Drosophila melanogaster: one gene and its partners. The protein of the gene in region 1 interacts with the protein of each later gene in a pairwise test. Each region holds a gene or a part of one and is shown on either strand. Other genes may lie near its edges. The genes, in order: RAF2, CG13032, Cwc25 and CG5478.

The links.
Region 2: the proteins of RAF2 (region 1) and CG13032 interact in a two-hybrid assay, tested with the Drosophila melanogaster proteins (one large-scale study listed by BioGRID).
Region 3: the proteins of RAF2 (region 1) and Cwc25 interact in a two-hybrid assay, tested with the Drosophila melanogaster proteins (one large-scale study listed by BioGRID).
Region 4: the proteins of RAF2 (region 1) and CG5478 interact in a two-hybrid assay, tested with the Drosophila melanogaster proteins (one large-scale study listed by BioGRID).

What each region holds. Positions count from the first base shown.
Region 1 is NT_037436.4:16,384,596-16,391,334, forward strand, and holds RAF2 (RING-associated factor 2), read left to right. Parts: upstream 1-1,731; 5' UTR 1,732-1,975; intron 1,976-2,030; 5' UTR 2,031-2,041; coding exon 2,042-2,361; intron 2,362-2,425; coding exon 2,426-4,753; intron 4,754-4,809; coding exon 4,810-5,025; intron 5,026-5,083; coding exon 5,084-5,282; intron 5,283-5,340; coding exon 5,341-5,589; intron 5,590-5,706; coding exon 5,707-5,748; 3' UTR 5,749-6,221; downstream 6,222-6,739. Other genes in the region: Agpat3 (1-Acylglycerol-3-phosphate O-acyltransferase 3), read right to left, coding at 833-859; CG44836 (uncharacterized protein), read right to left, coding at 6,527-6,739.
Region 2 is NT_037436.4:16,672,141-16,676,780, forward strand, and holds CG13032 (uncharacterized protein), read left to right. Parts: upstream 1-1,823; 5' UTR 1,824-2,007; coding exon 2,008-3,405; intron 3,406-3,461; coding exon 3,462-3,835; intron 3,836-3,893; coding exon 3,894-4,104; 3' UTR 4,105-4,124; downstream 4,125-4,640. Other genes in the region: zetaCOP (coat protein (coatomer) zeta), read right to left, coding at 314-404, 917-1,284, 1,342-1,359.
Region 3 is NT_033779.5:2,743,191-2,747,446, forward strand, and holds Cwc25 (Cwc25), read left to right. Parts: upstream 1-1,907; 5' UTR 1,908-2,008; coding exon 2,009-2,026; intron 2,027-2,081; coding exon 2,082-2,304; intron 2,305-2,366; coding exon 2,367-3,691; 3' UTR 3,692-3,754; downstream 3,755-4,256. Other genes in the region: CG9961 (uncharacterized protein), read right to left, coding at 268-1,347, 1,414-1,522, 1,577-1,734; Pgk (phosphoglycerate kinase), read right to left, coding at 3,822-4,062, 4,121-4,256.
Region 4 is NT_033777.3:15,932,200-15,935,306, reverse strand, and holds CG5478 (uncharacterized protein), read left to right. Parts: upstream 1-1,572; 5' UTR 1,573-1,620; coding exon 1,621-2,412; 3' UTR 2,413-2,607; downstream 2,608-3,107. Other genes in the region: blp (black pearl), read right to left, coding at 670-932, 993-1,155; Fbxl7 (F-box and leucine-rich repeat protein 7), read right to left, coding at 2,804-3,107.

The DNA of each region.
Region 1 (6,739 bases):
AAGCTCGCGAAAGTCAATAATCTTTAGAATGAGTGGGTTTATGGGGACCAAAGTGTGCAAACAGTTTAGCAAAAAATTGATGACAGTTAGGTGTCATTTTTTACATTTTGTACATGGAGATGTTTTAAAAAAGTACTAAAGTTTTACGACCGTTTTAATTATGAGTAAAAACGACAACTTTAAAACTTTAAACTAATTAAATCATTTCATTAAGGCGTTTAGCTATTCATATTTCTTATTAAATAATACTTGGCTTCGGATATTTTAGATATTTCAATTTAAGCAAATTTAAATAAGTTTCGAAACGATTTTCGGATTTTAAATAAACTAAAGTAATAGGTATTATATATTGAGATTATTATTTAAATGATCATGATTTACTTAAATTATGATTTAAAACATGTCAGCGGATAAAGTTTATCAAAGAAGTTTTTATTTGTATTTCTACAAAGTTATAAACAATGGTTGTAAAACGACCAATGATAAAGGTCAATCTTTTGTTTTGACACGTAATATAAAACTGGGACTGCATATATTTACATGCACAATGGAACGCACTACGTTTTTGTAATAGAAATGAATGCATTCAGTTGACAAGCACTGCTTTTTTTAAATTTCTTATTTCTTCCTATGATAATGGGATTTAAATCCAATGAAAAAAGGAGTACTTTTCATGCCATTTCTTATGCACACCGCCATTAGCTGAATCAACCGAAAATTCGCCGGGCCGAATTGATTGTATTTTTGATGCACTCAATTGGTGACCCCGACGTTGATTGCTGAACCCATTGTATTGAATTAGTTTACTTTTTCGATCGTCCACTTTACATACAACAAAAGAGTTCTTGTGCACGACCATGCGATTGTGTGCGTGTGAGCATGCATATACGTATGCATGTGCTCAGCTGGCGCACGTGTGCGAGTGTGTGTGTTTGGGAGAGGCGTGGGGTGGCGTGACGTGGTTAACATTTATGGTTATCAGTTCGCGATCTGCAAGGCAATAGCCACCCACAAACGATCAATAAACAAAGTCCTATTTAAAGGTATGTCTATCTGCAGCTGCGCCGTTCTTATCGGTTATTCCCTGTTACGCATATGCACATATATATACAGACACTGTCGGTCGTGCCCTTTGTTTACGAGTGTCACTGGGCGGGAATCGGTTGCTAAACACTGGTCACTACTATATGGTTATCACTCGGCGGCGTCGTGCCCGCCATTTACCTTTTTGGCAATGTTTTTGTGCGAATTGATTTGTTTTCTTTTGTAAGCCAAACGGTATGACCGTTCGAGTGCAATGACGATGACACCGGTGAACAAACGGAAAATCGCCACTTTTGCCTTTAGTATTTTTCAATATTTAATATTTGCCACCAGGGCTGTCAGGTTGCAATGTTGTAAAGGAAATCTGAATAATTTGGCTAACGATCTGCACTACAACTTATAGCTTATTAATGATTGATTTTTGATCTACGCTAACTTTTCCATAAATCAAAAAATGAAACTCTAGTGAGTAACTTATTCTAATATAGTTATTTGGTTTTTAGATATGAAATGACCGAATACCCCGAAACTAGTAATATTTAATAAGATTACTAGATTACTTTAATTTAATAAGATTAAAAATTTGTTTGCTTGGTTTACCTAACTAAGAACTAGTTGGAAGAACATATTTTATTCAGTATTATTTAAAGACTTTCCCAAAAGTGGTTACCCTATTGGTTTGCGTCCATACTAAATGCCTGTCAAAATTATTCGCAGAATTGAACGGCGAATTTTTTTTCGCATTTGGAAATTGGATTTTTGCTGAAAGTAAACGCTTTAAAACTGGTATAAACCCGAATTAGCCTATTTGGGGACTTGGGCCATTGTTTTAAGTGGTTTTCAGCAACTGAAAAGGTGAGCCCGTCGGCGGATTAGAATATTCAACCGGCAGACGATTTTTTGTTGGCCAAAAATTTGCAGACGTGAGCGCGTGAGTTTTTGAGGGGGTTAATGCCAAAAGATGTACATACCTGACCGTCGTCCAGTTGCAGGCCTAATGTCCAACGAGATCTACGACTCCTCCAATTCGCAGCTAAGTAGCGACGAGTATAGCCACGAGGAGGAGGAATACGACGCTCTAATGGACGCGGCGGTGAGCAAGCAACGACCCCAAAAGACAAAATCCAAGGGATCCGAGTCCGAGAAACCCGGAAATGGAGCTCCAGAATCGGCGGCTGCCACTGAGAAAAATGAAAAGCCAGATGACGATGCGGTGCCACCTTCCACGCGCTCAGAAACAATTCGGCGGATCCGGCAATTGCAGTTACAGCGTGGCAGGCTGCCCAATCTTTACTTCAAGCGTCGCAGTATTCGTTGGTAAGGCTTACTTCCCAAAGAACCTACTGAAACTGTAATCCTATCTTATCCGATCACACTTCAGGCTGCGACCCAATAAAATGGACTACAACAGCTATTTTGACGGCCTGAAGGACTTGCTGCCCAAGCGTAAATTGAAGCACCTGGTTCGCTTCCATGACAGGCAGCGCAGAACCTACGACAGCAGGAGCATCAGTCGTAGTCGCAGCCACAGCCGCAGTCTTAGCCGAAGTTGCAGTCGCAGTCGTAGTCGTAGCTATTCTCGCAGCCGCAGCGGCAGTGGTTCGCCGGAACTCATTTGCCTTGACGACACGGAGAACGAGGATTCGCCTGAGAAACCAGAGCAAGAGCCGGCAAGGGTTACGCCCATCAAGGAAAATAAGCCTACGCTTCCGGCTCCACCCCAACTAAACTACGAGCTGCCAGAAAGGAAGAAAGCAAACCCACTTGGAAACAACGAAAACGGTGCCTCTATCCTCGACGAGTTCCTGGTAAAGAAGGATCCCCAGGAACCGGTCTTCGACTACGGTAAACTCTCAGCGTGTCGGGAATTGGAACAGGCTCTAAAGGACCGGTCGCGAGATGCGCCAAATGAGGCAGAGTCGCTTGTGGTTGATGCCACTCTTAAAAGACGCCGTTCGGTAACACCGCCCGCTAGCGAAGAGAAGCGCAACAATGAAGTCGAGGATGATAATATAATTGGGTTTTCAACGGTGCAGCAACAGAAGCCAATGGAGGCAGCTCCACCATTAAATCTAAGAATGCCCACCACTCCATCGACTAATCCTCTTCAGCGTCAGCAGGCTTTTAAGCTGAGCACACCGTATACCCTGGCTCCGCCTACTGCCGCCAAGCAAGCTGACACTTACAGTTTAAATACTCCACCGCCAACGGCCACCCAAATGCAGATATCCTATCCCAACGAAAAGCTGTCAAATAACATGAAAGCTAATGCGACTTTCTCGATTCAACAGACAGCTTTATCCCAAGTCGCTGCATCCTATGCTGCTGCACCACAAGTGGCTGCCCTCGCGCAGAGAGCTCCATCTCAGGTTGCTCCACTACAACAAGCCCCCGTGCAACAGATGCACTTCCCAAGATCAGTTCCACCGCAGCAGCTTCCTCCACCACAGCAGCGAGCTCCTCCACAGCAACTGGCTACAGCTCCATTCGCTCCACCACGGCACCTGGCTCAACATAGACCATCTCCACAGCAGCTAGCTCCATCACAGCAGCTGGCTCCACCACACCAGCTAGCTCCACCACACCAGCTAGCTCCACCACAGCAGCGAGCTCCGCCACAGCAGCTAGCTCCACCACACCAGCTAGCTCCACCACACCAGCTAGCTCCACCACAGCAGCGAGCTCCGCCACAGCAGCTAGCTCCGCCACAGCAGCTAGCTCCACCACAGCAGCTAGCTCCACCACAGCAGCTAGCTCCACCACAGCAGCTAGCTCCACCACAGCAGCGAGCTCCGCCACAGCAGCGAGCTCCGCCACAGCAGCTGGCTCCGCCACAACAGCGAGCTCCCACACAGCATATGGCTCCACCACAACATATGGCTCCGCCACAGCAGCTAGCTCCAACACAGCAGCTAGCTCCTCCACCACAGCAGCTAGCGCCTCGACCACAGCAGCTAGCTCCTCCACCACAGCAACTAGCTCCTCCACCACAGCAGCTAGCTCCTCCACCACAGCAGCCAGATTCATCAAGACCAGCTTCGGTGCAGCCGTTGACCCCTCAAAGGCATGCTAGTCCACATCAGCTTGCCCAATCACAGCAGGTCCATCAATCGCCATCTCAACTGCATCCTGTTCCAGTGGCTGCTCCCAACTTTGCGGTGCCCCAACAGCCGCAACCCCGTCGATCGGAAACGGTGAGCACCCAGACGCAGGGCTTGGGGTCACCAGCGGCTTCTTCTTCGACAACCCGCCAAAAGTCATTCGTTGATCTCAATAATAGTGATGCAAACTTCCATTATCGCGTCAAAGAACTTTTCGATGAATTGAACTCGACAATGATTGATAAAATTAACTCGGTACCCCCTGATGAAGATTCATTGAAAAAAGAGCGCGAACGCATCGTTGCGGATCTTGCAGCCCTAGATAAGCTGATGGCCCAGAAAGAGGATGAATATAACCGACTGCTGTATTTGAGCTGCATTAAGAAGGAGCTGCATGAACGAATGGAGCGAAAGGAGCGCTTGATACGTATTAAGGACCTACTGCCCATCCTTATCAACAAGTGCGGCACCAAGGAGCTCAGTGAGGTAAAGGCTATGCTAGAAGAGGAAATCGATTCTCCAATGGCCTCCAAACATAGTTTGTCGGCAATTGAAAAATTACTGAATTACGCCGAGTTAAACCAGAACATCATACAGCTTCTGCGGGGGTAAATCTTTAAATGTTTAATTCTGAGAATCCCAAGTTAAAATTGATCGTTTTCAGTTCCTTGGGCTTAAATAAACGCGCACCGTCCGTGTCTCCGGCCAATTTCGAGGATGACCAAATGCTTTTTCGTAGAGATTCCTTGCCCGTAAGTCATCTATCAATGCGGGATCAGCATTACGAATCTCGGAATGCGGTAAATGACCATCTGCTAGATAGCAATCCAGACAGAGATCCGCCAGCCAAGCGACCGAAGCTAATCCACTCGCAAGACAGGTGAGAAAATACAAATAATATACTAGAACATATTATTTTAACGTCATATAATTTATAGTAACCAGGACATGGCAAGCTCCTCGACACATTTGTCAGCCAATCTTTCAGAGACGCTTCGCAAGATTAGGGCTTGGAAAAATTATTCGCATTTTAGTAACGTCTCAATGGAGGACAATAATTCGGATAATGAATCACAGATCGAACCGCTGTTCAACAGCAGTCCGATGGCCTCCCGTCGCCAACTGGCCAATAGACAGGTATGCACTTAATCACAATATTTTTTGACATTCCGCGAAAATAAATGTTTCTATTCAGTCCTACCAAGAACAACATTCCGCTAATATCAACGACCATGAGAATGTCCAAAAGAGGCACAAGTCTCACAAGCGCAAGTCGCATAAGCACAAGTCTCACAAGCATAGGAGCTCCCATAAGTCCCAGGCTGAATCTTCCGCCACCATCAACGGTAACACAGGTAGACAATGCCACGAGTGCAAGCTCTATGGAGCCACCTTTATGTGCTCCAACTGTCAGAATCAATGGTACTGCAGTCGTGAATGCCAGGTAAGCATTGTAGGATTTATTATGTATTTTATGCATTTTTTTAAATTGTTTTATCCAGTGACGCATTGAAGGAAAAGTACTCATGTTTACCTATCTTTTATAATACATTCGTTATAGCTGAGCGATTGGGACACACATCACCGAACTTGTGGCATTTAAATAGACTTCACTTAGGACATCAGCATTACTAAAACATAACTATATAGACGTATCGCATATGCACTACTATATATTTACTCAACCGTGTAACTCACTGAAGGACACAGGACACTGGCGGACCATTTTCAATTGCGTTTTATTGAATTAAGTGCTTGCAATTGTACTCAATCAATGAAGCACAATTTAAAGTGTAATATGCCTAGCTATTATAAGTTGGTAGGGATTAAATATAATAATTATAATTCCTTAATAATTGATTCCAATTTGCTTATGAACAACGCGCGAAATTCATTTTGTTTCAAAATCGTATTGATAAAATGTTCCTCGTTTTCCCACTTTTTTTGTTTGAAAATTAAATATCCTTGACTTCTTGTTTGCTACATAAAAGATATCTATTTAAGAATTAATATATTTATTTTCTGTTTCTTTGGATGTAATTCCATGCTAAAGGCAAAATAAACAAGTTCATATTTATTTACAAGCACTTATTATTTAATTTTTGGGAAGACTATTGAACCAAAAAGTATTAGTTCAACAAAATAAAGAAAATGATGAGACGTTTTAATACAATAATAGAAAGTGTTTTAAAATTGGTACTTATAAAATATAAAATTTTACCGTTTGCAGAACTGGTTGGCTTGGTCTATCGATAAATGGCGCCAAGTTTATTGTTCAAATTTCAAACAGAATTTTCTGTGAAATTCGACTAAACTTTGATAACATATAATTCGTATAATGGAATTTTTTCAGATCATTTAGGGCTTTGCCATCGCCTCATTTATTTACTGCGCCTGCGCACCTGGCACATCAGTTTGATGTCATTTATATGCAGCCGGAGTGGCTGCCTCCTGGACCACGGACCACGTCTCAGTTTCCGGATGCGCAGCTGCCGGCTGCAGTAGAGCCGGAATTTCAGATTCGGATTCCAGACGGCACCGGCCGAGGCGGAGGGCGTGACGCACTTGTAGGCATATTGCCACCATAATCGAAT
Region 2 (4,640 bases), 290 kb from region 1:
TTTGTTGAAACTGAAAATAGATCGTAATTAAACAAAAATGCGAATAACAAATAAATCTAGGCAAATGTGTAAAGCTTGTAAACTTATATTAACTCAGTTACTAACTACATATAGTCTTGAAAAACAAAGAGCCTAATTATTTGTTCATAGGGCGGGTAAAACTAAATGAGAATATATTTGACTGCAGGGTATCAAATTGCGAAACGAAACCAGACAAAATTAAAGTACAAACGGCTACCATTGAGTTATAAACACTTAGAAGAGCTACCAAGTAGTTAGACTACCAAAATAGACCATTAAGGGTGTTAGTTACCTGGGCAACGGTCTGTTCGGCAATGGGAATGTCATCGTTGCGCAGATCAACGCGTTTCACCACCGACGAGGGATCCGCATCCAGAATAATGCTATTTGGAAAACGGGTAAAGGTTTAAATAGAATATTTGTATTTAATAATATGTAATGCATAATATACAGTGATGAATGGCAAAGTATATCTTTTTGTACCTCAGGTGATTTCTAAAGCTCAGCCTATAAACTTAAAAACTTATACGAGCTGCATGCCTAGGATGCCAGTGCTCGTATGTATTAGTTTAATCTTTAAGTTTAATATATTTTAATATTTAGTTTGATTTATATAATTAAACTTTTGTACCTATACCCTAACATCGCAGTTATCATATAACTTTTCATTGGACTTGACTAGGTTTTGTTAAAAAAAAGGAAGCTTTAAATGCGGTTAACTACTTAGAGGCTTCACTTGAGCTGGCCTAACTCATAGACTAGTAAATAACAATGTTATTTATGGGAACTTGTGTAGTAATAATTTGATGTTTTCTAAACGAACTGCTGCTAATGAAAGCTGCTTTAACTTGGTCCCTTGTTCTTTCCATCCATCACTGTATACGCTAATACACACCCTCCGTCGCAGATCTCGTCAAATGCCAGCATGATGATCTCCAGGTTTTCCAGCACCAGGCGCTTCTCAACGTTCTTCTTGAGGATCAGGCTAATGGAATCGTAGAGGCAGTTGAGCACGGACAGCAGGATGAGCTCGTTCTCGTAGGCGTTGCCCATCACGTAGAAGAAGAGGTCCACGTTGCTCTTGTACACGCAGGTGAGTCCGTCCAGCATAATGATCTCCGTGTTGGAGCGGTGCGTCTTATTGAACAGATTCTTTTCGAAGGCCTTCTGCTCCTTCAACGTGGACAGGATGTTCTTGTCGTAGTACTTGGCCAGGATGCGGTTGCCATCGTTGTCCATGATGCACATGCCCTTGATGATATCCTGCAGCACATGTTGGGTTTGATTTTAAGCCAGTTACTTGTGTATTTTGCAATTTACCATCATAAATCCGTCCATCTTCACTTGTTTTCGTGTCTTACACGTCACTTTAGTATGACCATATTGCGACCGCTAAATTATACCAACTAAACAGTACTGCCAACTCGAGTCACAAAATAAATAGCTAGATACAGTTAAAACTATCTAGAAAAACTGTTAAAATTTTTGAATTTTAGCTAAGCCGTTATCGTTGTTTTATTATTATATTTTAAATTATAATTTGAAACACATGGGGGGCTGGCTTGCTTGACGTTGGCCGTACTTTGCTGGGGTATTTAAAATAAAATAATGTAAATGTAAAAAAAGAATAACGGTTTAAATGTAAATTATCCTGTCTTAAATAAAACAACAGTTTGGAAAGATCAAGAAAAGAATTGTCAATGTCAATTTTATTATTGCAGAAACTCTGTTTATTTTTAACTTACCTATTATTGAAGAAATCCTGATTATGACAAGAGTTCCAAATTTAAAAATTGCCTTGCCTTTGATTTGTCTGTTTCAAATGAGGTTTAAATTTGAATAACCTAGAAACAACTGATGACAACCAAAATTTGTGAATATTTTAGTAACAAGAACAGGCACACGTACAAATTATTTTCGCCCAGCCAACGAAATTGTTAGATTCAATTGTGTATATTTTTATGTGAACAACTAGAGGGCATTGCGATGGAGACTTTGCCGGAAGAGTATGTAGCCCATCGGGATCAGGAGCTGTTGGGGTGCAAAGTGGGCCGTTCCTCTCGACGTCGGCATGACCATGATGCCATGGCCGCTGCCCATGTGGTGCTGACCACCGCTGTGGTAAAACCAAAGCCAACAAAGCCGGAGTCCAAAAAGCTGCGCAAAAAGCTATCCGAATGCGAGCAGGAGAAGCAGTCACTGGCCCAGGCCATTCATGAGAAGAATCAGGAGATATCCGACCTGAAGAAATCGGTTGATTCGCTCAACGAGGTGCTCAACTCCGTGCCCATTGATGAGCTGCGCTGCAACTCCTCCATTGCCAGCACCAAAATCCTGGAACTGAGCAAGAAGAACCGCCAGATGCGTTCCGAATTGGAGCAGGCAAAGAGTCGGCTGGGTAAAAAGGATGCTCAGATCGAGAAGCTGGAGAAGGAGCTGCGTGCGCACGAGGAGAAGCTGCAGCATAATCAGGATCTGCCAAAAAAGGGCTGCTCCCCCGATGAGCTCCAAGCCAAGATCAACAGTATGCAGCAGAAGCTCTTCGAAACGCGAAACAGGAACACCGAGCTACAAAGCCAACTGAAACTGGCCCAAAAGTGCCTGCAGCACGAGATCGGTGAGAGCTGCAACATCAACATCCTGGCCAACAATCTTAATCAGGCCAATTGGCGCGGTCGTGCTCAGCAGATCATCGCGCTCAACCAGAAAGTGCACGAGCTCAAGGCTCGCTTGGATTTCTACGAGGACCGAGCCGTAGATCGAGCCGAATATGCTGCCCCAGTGCCGTTGGGTTCGGATCTGGAGTTGGTAACCGGCAGCTGTCGATCACATCATGCCAGCTCTGAGAGATTAGGTGGAGGCGATGGCGGCGGAGCCACAACGGCCAGCTTCGATCGCTTTACACCGGGTGTGCGTAAAAGTGAGATTCTTCATCGAGCCAAGGTGGAGGCTCTGGAAAAGGAGATTCTTAGCCTGCAAAACCAACTGGAGGATCAACGCAGCAAGACACTCGCCCTAAAGGTGAGGAACAAGAATCTGAACGAGGAGATGAACAAGTACAAGATTCTATACAATGAGCTGGAGGAGCAGACCGACTTCAATGGCACCAATATCAATACCATGAATGACAAACTGAACCAGCAGAGGATTCAGTACGAGAACCGTTTGGACGACATGCGCGGCGAGCTGGTCCGGGTGACCGAGGAGCGAGATCTTTCGCGCCGGCAAATGGAAGAGCTGAGCGGTATGCATCTGGAGCTGCAGACGGTGGTCAAGCAGAAGGATGTGGCCATGGCCAGTCTGCAGGATATGATCAAGAAGCTGGAAATGGACCTGCGCGCCCTATCCGGCGGATTCCTCTTCTCCTGCCGCGAGTTTCGAAAGGTAAAACTCTGTACACTAAAACATAAGCTATTAATTTGCTTAATTATATTCCGCAGGAGGAATTTGTGGGCATCCTGGATGCTCTAGAGGTGGAGAAAAATCAGCTTATGTTGCTCACCAAAACTCTAGGAGATCGTCTGGAGACGGAGAGAGCCAAGAACGAAGCAGCTCAGGAGCAGATTGGCAAGTTAAAGGCCCGTATCAGCCGACTGGAGGTCAAGATCAGGGACCTGGAGAAGGAACTCGATGTGCAGTCCGATAAGAAGAAACGCACCCAGCGAATGGCCGACTACGCCAGTTCGCTGAGTCGCACTTCTCTTAACGGATCGATTGGTTCCTTCTGCTTCGAAAATCAGTCCCAGTACCAGTCCACAAATACGCTGAATTCGGCAGGACAGCCTGAGCCCAGAATAGAGGATCTAAAGAATAAGTAAGTTCGGACACGGCAATCCCATCGCTTAATCAACTATAACTACTTATATTTTCAGTCTTGAACTGGCCAAGGAAAAAATCACAATGCTGACAGAGAAGCTGGAGTATATCACCGAGGAGAAGAACGCAGATGCCAAATTTTTCGAGGACACCATCAACAGTACGAAGACCATTATCCTTGAAACTGTACTTGGAGCTCGCGAAAAGGGATTGAGCGATCGTAGCAAAAATGCAGATAAAAGCACGAGCGAGACTTCCATTCAATAATGAAGATGAACAAAACCACGATTTTTATTTTGATTAGTTTTTATGTTCTTTGCAATGCTAAAAAAACTGGACGAGAAGTCATGCCATATACATATTTATATGTAACTGGAATGTTATTAAACTTGCATGGCATTGCAATGCACATCATTGATTCTGAAGTACCGAAAACAATGAGTTTTAAATTTTCATAAATTTTTATTTGATTTGTAACACGTTCACAAAACGAAGCCTTTGGCGCTGCTTCTATTTCAGGATAAGATTAGATTAATTCAAGTATTTGTTAGGTGATTTCTTTCCACTCGAAGCATTTCCAATTGCATTATGCCTATATAATTGTTATTAATTGCTGTCTATAGCTATGCATGTGTGTGTGTGTGTGTGTGTGTGAGTGTCTTGTAAGTTAAGTTAATAATACATTATATATAGCTTGACTTGCCATAGAAAAACGATCCTGCAATCACATATTAAATTAGTTTTAGTTGCCGTTTGTAAATTGCTTCATTATTTGCGTTAGAAATTCGTTCTCCATTGCTCGC
Region 3 (4,256 bases), on another chromosome or scaffold:
TATTAGTTACTATTTCAAAAGTTTTTGTTGCGAGAAAGAGGAACATGATAAATTTTAAGTTTAGACCAAATCTATGGAGGTAAAAAGATAGTTGGAAAGTAGTGCTGCACGAGATCGAGGCCCGCCCTTTTATCACGTTTTAACCGACTAATGTTATTCCACAATAAAAATAACTTTGTATTTTGAGAGACTGATTGTTTAAATTGTCCAAATTGAATTTAAGATACATGTACATATAAGTGGAATAACCATTGTAAAGCAGTGCGTTTAGGCATCCGAAAGAGCAGCCACTCCAGGCAGAACCTTACCCTCCAGCAACTCCAGGGAAGCTCCTCCACCGGTGGACACATGCGAGACCTTGTCGGCGCCTCCGAACTTCAAGCAAGCGGTGGCCGTATCCCCACCACCAACGATTGTGGTGGCTCCTCGGTTAGTGGCCCCGATTACTGCCTCCAGCATGGACTCGGTGCCTTTGGAGAATAGCTCGTTTTCGAACAAGCCTGGCGGTCCGTTCCAGACGATGGTTTTGGATGCACAAATAGCGCCAGCAAACATCTGACTGGATGCCTGGCCGTGGTCCAGACCCATCATGTCCTCCGGTATGCCCTGTGTGGCATCCACATGTTCCACTTTATCCGGCTCCTTGTCGATCTTATTGGCTATGACAAAGTCAATCGGAAATAGTATATTCACGTCCTTCTCCTTCGCCTTGCAGACTATGTCGTTGACCAACTCGGATCCCTTCTCGTCGAAGAGGGACTTTCCAATCTCCATGCCATTGAGCACTTTGAGAAAGGTGAAGGCCATGCCACCGGATATGATCATGGCCGTTACATTGTTCAGGAGGTTCGTTATCAGTGGAATTTTATCGGCTATCTTGGCGCCACCCAGAATGGCCAAAAAGGGCTTGGCCGGATCGTGGAGAACCTTGGCAAAGTACTCCAGTTCCTTGTCCAGCAGGAAACCAGCCGCTCGCACCTTGTAGCCATCGCCCATCATGGAACTATGCGGACGATGTGCTGTTCCAAAGGCATCGTTCACATAGATCTCGCCCAGCTGCGCCAACTTGGCTCGGAATTCCTTCACCTTCGCGGGATCTGCTTTGACCTTCTTCTTGTTATCGTCCTTGCTGCTGCCCGTCTCCTCGGCATAGAAACGAAGATTCTCCAACAGGAACACAGTGCCGTCGGAGGGATCCTTCAAAGCTCTCAGGGTGCTATCACCCACGCAGTCGTCCAGGAATTGAACCGGCTGGCCCAGCACACTCTCCAGCTCCTTGGCCACGGGTTCCAGGCTAAACTTTTTGTTCTTTTTGCCATCCGGACGCCCCAAGTGGGATGCCAAAACCTAGGCAAAAAATTAAGTTATTCGTTCTATACTTTTTAGGAATTGAAGGAAGATATATCAACTCACCAAGGACTTACATTTCTTGTCCAAGGCATATTTAATACTGGGAAGTGCGGAAACAATTCGTTGGTTGTTGGTTATTTTGCCATCTTTCATGGGTACATTAAAGTCCACTCTAAAAATAAATTTATAAATCACACACTAAAACATATCTGGCAAGGATACTCACCTCATAAAAACCCTTTTCCCAGCCACATCTACATTTTTTAAGCTCAACTTCTTTACTTGCTTTCCATTGCAATCGTCTTTGCTAAAAAATCTTGGAAATCTTAATTTTGTAAATCGAGTTTGAGCTCTTTGGTATAAACTCTGCCGAATTGGAAGCATATTAAATAAATTTATTACCTGTTTTTGACTGAAAATACAATGCACGATGAGGAAGTAATTATGAAAATAAGTAACTAAATTAACTATTTTCAATAATTTTCGAAAAAGTAAAAGAAAAATGTAACCCTATGGCAACACCAAGTTAAATTACTTCACCACGATCTGGCAGCCCGGGCGAACATATGATTTTGTTGAAAACAACAGAAAAGGAGGGAAAATCTGGAATTGTTTGTAATTTGTTTGTTTTGCTGTTAAAACGCAAATCAAACCCAAGATGGGTGGCGGAGATCTAGTAAGTAATGTCTCCCAACTGATTATCCGTCAATTACCATTGATTTTTCCCGCAGAATCTGAAGAAATCATGGCATCCGCACACGATGAAAAACCAGGAGCGCGTTTGGAAGGCGGAGGAGCAAGCGAAGATGGAGGAGCGCAAGCTGCAGGATCTGCGCAAGGAGATCAACGAGGAGCGGGACAGAGAGGAACTAAGGCGATTGGGCGAAAGTTCCGGAGTGCTGAGCAATAATGGCGGAGCCGCCGGCGAGGCCAAGCTGGAGTGGATGTACAAAAGTGAGTCATACATGTGAAACTCTTATAAAACTCATTATCCATACATATTTATCTTGCTCCAGACAGCACAGAGCTGATCAACCGCGAGGAGTACCTCCTGGGCCGTAAGATCGACAAGTCCTTTGAGACGCTGCAAGCGGAGGAAAGCCGCCAGGAGCAGAACACAGTGGGTCTCAAGCAAACGATCAACCATGTGGAGCACGACTGTGTGCCCTTCTCCATCCGGACCTACCGCAATGTGCAGTCCAACGAACAGGTGGACATACAGCGCAAGACCCTCGAGGATCCCCTGATGCTCATCAAGCAGCGCGAAATGGAATCCCGTCGAAAGCTGCTTGAGAACCCCGTCAAGCTGAAGGAAATCCATCGCATTCTCAAGACTGAACAGGAACAAAAGGCCGCAGAGGGAAAGAAGAAGAACAAGAAGAACAAAAAGTCTAAGAAATCCAAAAAGAAGAAGAAGAACCGACGATCCAGCAATGAGGAAAGTAGTGACAGCGAGAGCAATGATAGCGACGATGACTTGGACAGAAAATTAGCCCGCCAAGTGAGCAAACTCAAGGGAGACCAAGGTGACCTTAAACTGGACAAGCTGCTGGACGCCAAGTACCGCACCATTTCAAATCAATTAGACATGGCCACCAAGAAGAAAAAGAGCAAGAAATCCAAGAAGAAGAAAAGCAGCGATAGCAGTGACGAAAGTAGTGACGAAGAGGAAGAGCCAAGGAGAAAGCACAAAAGGAGCCACAGCTCAGAGGACAGAAATCAGCGAGAAAGACGCAGGAGTAGAAGCCCCCGGGATAGAAAAAAGCGACAGAGTAGAAGTCCGGAACAAAGGCAAAGGCAAAGGAGTCCAGAAGAGAGAAGGGAAAGGCGCAGGAGCAGGAGCAGAAGTCCCTTAGCGAGAAGACAGAGAAGAACCAGGAGCCCAGAGGACAGAAAAGCCAGACGTCAAAGCAAGGACACTTCAAAGCAGCGCGAGAAACGCAGGAGTAGGACACCTGAAGAGCGTTCCAGATCAAAACGCAGCAGGAGCCGAAGTTCCAAAGGAGATGACAAGCGAAGGATTGCCGAAAGACCGCCTCCCAGCCGTCCCACCGGCAAGCCAAAGTTAAGCGAAGCCGACCGAGAAGCTCGCCTGCGCGAAATGATGGACAACGCCACTTGGAGAGAAGCGGATCGCAGCCAGGTGGTTCGCAAGCACCGAGAAGCATACGCGCGCGAGGAGGCCCAAAATCGTGAACGAGACTTCGACAAGGAGTTCATTAACAAGGAGGTGAAGAAGGCCATTGCCAACCATAACTCAATTGGCGATCGCATCCGGGCCAATCTCAACAACATACAGCGCACCGCCTCCTCAATGGACAGCAACTTTGCCCGCAAATAAACTAGGATTCCTTTATTTCGTATGCATTATATGGTTCCGCAACAAATAGATTCAACACTTTTTAACGTCGTGGTTTGTGCTTACAAGGTAAACGATGCGATTAACATTAATATACCGTATATATGTACGCTTAGGCGCTGGTCAATGCAGCCACGCCTGGCAGTGTCTTGCCCTCCAGGAGCTCCAGCGAAGCGCCGCCTCCGGTGGAGACGTGCGAGACGAGTGCCTCCGTGTTCCACTTGGCGCAGCAAGAGGCAGTGTCGCCGCCGCCGATGATGGAGACGGTGCCGTTCTTGGTGGCGGCCACCACGCCGTCCATGATGGACTTGGTGCCGTTGGCGAAGTTGGGGAACTCAAAGACACCGGGGGGTCTAAAATGGGAAAACCATTATAGGACATTTGGAGAAGTAGCTTCAGTGTGACACCTACCCGTTCCACACGATGAGCTTGGCGCGTGCGATGGGTGCCGCGAAGAGCTCACGGGTCTTGGGACCCACATCCAGACCCATGTGTCCATCGGGAATTCCGGCCTCCACGGTGGCCTCGCTGACGGCAGCGTTCTCGG
Region 4 (3,107 bases), on another chromosome or scaffold:
GCTGGGGCGATGGTATTGCGATTTTCGTGGGTGGGATATTTGTGCGCTGGAATGCGCATGTGTGCTTTGGCGTCGTTTTGCTGCTGCTGGCGCAATTAGACAAACAATTGACACGTCTATGGAAACAACAACTGCGCACCAGTAATGATTATTTTCGGTTTGTTCTCGGCCAGTGCTGCCCATCGAACAGCTGACTGCTGTCGGTCGATAGCTCTACCGATATGTTCGCGCATCTCTGGCTTCTGCAACAGCTGATTTTAAAATTTCCAAGTTCCTATTGCGAAAGTTTGGAAGCCCATTGCAGCATTAGTTTATTTACATCAGCATAATTTTAGCTATAGCTAGATCAAGACATGGAACTTTGTTGATACTTAAAATATTTTTATTTTCAAACCCCAAGAAGCGTGATCTTAAAATCGATCCGATTCTAGTTACCTGGCCTGAGAGTAAAATATTTATACCTAACCGCCTGAGCTAATCCGTGTTAGTTTACAAGAATTCCATTACATTTGTGTTCCTGGAAAGTCGAGCTCTTCTCAGAAAGTGTTTACACTTGTCTTCATGTTCGTAAATCTCTATTTACAGCAACAGACTTTCATTTTTTGTACTTAACACGTAGTTTTTAAATCAATTATCAGCTAATTAGTTCGATTGGGACAACAAGGATACTCAGCGTCGCTGCCGCGATCTGCTCTGAGACTCCTCCGCCGTATCTTGCGCTGCTTCCGTATTTGACGACCTCGGCTGCTCATGGGCCTTAATCTCATGGTCCAGCCGCTCTTTCGCCCGGAAAACCTTTGACTGGATATAGAAGGAGCCGCCTTTGGAGCGTTCGTTGACTTGAAACAGATGCTCGTAGTTCTTGGTGATAGCGTCCACGTTTTTGGGGTCATCTATATTCAGGATCTGCTTGGCTTCCTCCAGCGTCATGCCTGCATTGATAAGTAGGTGTAAATAGTGAAATAGATAGCATGACTGTGTCCAAGACTCACCTGTGCGCAGGTTGGACTCGGCGCTCTTGTCGCCCTGCTTGCCACCACCCGCCCGTCGTGCTGCTTCCTGAGATGCGGCGATCTCCTGGCGCAGCGCCTTGGTAAAGGCTCTTCCCACTGCCTGGGCGCCCAACACGATGATCTGGGCGATATACTTGGCCATGACGGTTTCTTGTATTCCTTGGATTCGTACGTCAAAACACCGGCATTCTATGTGTACAGCTTAATTTTGGGTCTCAGAAAACGTGTCGCTTTAATTACGCAACACCGTAGTGACCCTCCGTGTTCCAATTGTACTATTTAAAAGGCGTCCTTCTAAAAAAATGCATACGTAACTTTTAACACTTAATTTCGAATGTGATTTATAATTGTATTGAGCTACCAGGTAAATTTTAGCTTTTACTCCAGATATTTACTAACGAGCAGGCGGCGAAAAGCAGGTGAAACAGCTGATTGGAGATGGTACACGGCTTTCATAATTAGCTATCGATATATATAATAGCTATATCATCGAGAATCGAAATATTTTTAAAACCAATTATTTAAATATTTTTACCACGACTACTTTGTCATCGATAGCATTTGTCAGTTATCGTTTTTAAAAATTCGAAATTCCCTAGTTAAGCCAATGATTCAGGAACCGAACTGGAAAAAGGACTACGACCGTCTGGTCCGCGAGCATTTGAATGATCAGAATCAGACGAAGTCGCTACAACGACAAATACGGCATTTTCGCTCAAAGCGCGTACGACTCCAGAATGAAATCGAGGCGGAGAGCAGGAGCATGGACGTTTGGGTAAAGATGATGGAGAACTTGCACCGCGGAGTGGAGCGCTTTCAGAAGCACCACCACCTGCTCACGCCCAAAAAGCGCAAGCAGCTGCGCCGCATAATGCGAAAGCTGCCCTTGAGCAGTTTGGATGAGCAGGTGCGACTGATGGAGGTGTCGGAGCGGTTGGTGCCCAAGCCGTGCAAGGAGACTCCTGAACCACCGAAGGGCAACGAACGCCAGTTCATCAAGTACTCAGTTCCGCATCAGAAAAAGAACTGTGATCCTAATAATCAATCCCCCGTGGACAAACGGCTGGCCAGGATATATGCCAATCTGAAGGCTCTGCTAAAAATCCACGAGCAGACCTCGTCCGTCATCGCTGATATACATTCCCTGATCGCCACTATTAACTATTTGGAGCGGGGGCACTGCACCAAGATAAAGATCACTCCAGCGGAGGGCTCCAGGCCGTCAATAAAGGCTACCATCGAATTGGATCGGCTGCGCAAGACCAAGCACGGCAACCACTACACGCGGGAAATTATGGACGTACGTCCTCCGTACATCCTTGACCATGTGCCGCAATTGAAACCAAACATTTTCGACGCTCTGGGGAGAAAGGCGAAAAAATCAAAATCCAAGCACTGAACCGTTTCTGGTGGGGAAAATAATTTATTACTCCAAGAATTAGTCTACTTAGACATAGTCTACTGAACATGCTCTATGCTACGCTAGTTCTGTCCTGCGTCAGTTTGATATATACAATTTACAATAATCTCATTTAGCTCGGGCAAAGTGGTGGCTGATTACAGAGAACAATTTAAATTATATCCAAACCAATAGATTATATCGGTTAATCATTGAACTAAGACTTGGGGACTTGAGGACCCAAAAGTCCGTGTATGGCTAAAATTTGCCTGCCACTTCATCAACTATTTTGTTTTTCAAGAGTTTTCTTTGCCCATAAATTCCCTTTATATCTGTGCTCATATGGCCTGCCTCTGTGCTTTGTGGTGTCTACCGCCGGCTATGGAACATCTCAACAGAATCCCGGATTTGTGTGTTCGATGATGCAGCGCTTGCAGTACTTCTTGACCGCCCGGTAGCCCTCGATGGAAACCGGACAGTCCTGGATATTCAGTTGCTGGAGACCGCGACAATAATATGCGATACACTGCACCCCGCGGTCCGTGATCATGTCGCAGCTGCGCAGGCTGAGCTTCTTCAGGTTCGGACAGCTCTCGGCCAGAGCTCGAAGCCCCGCGTCGCTCACATCGCACTTCCCGATGTCCAAGGCTCGCAGACGTGGACAGGATCTCGCCAGGACCGTAATGGAGTCATCG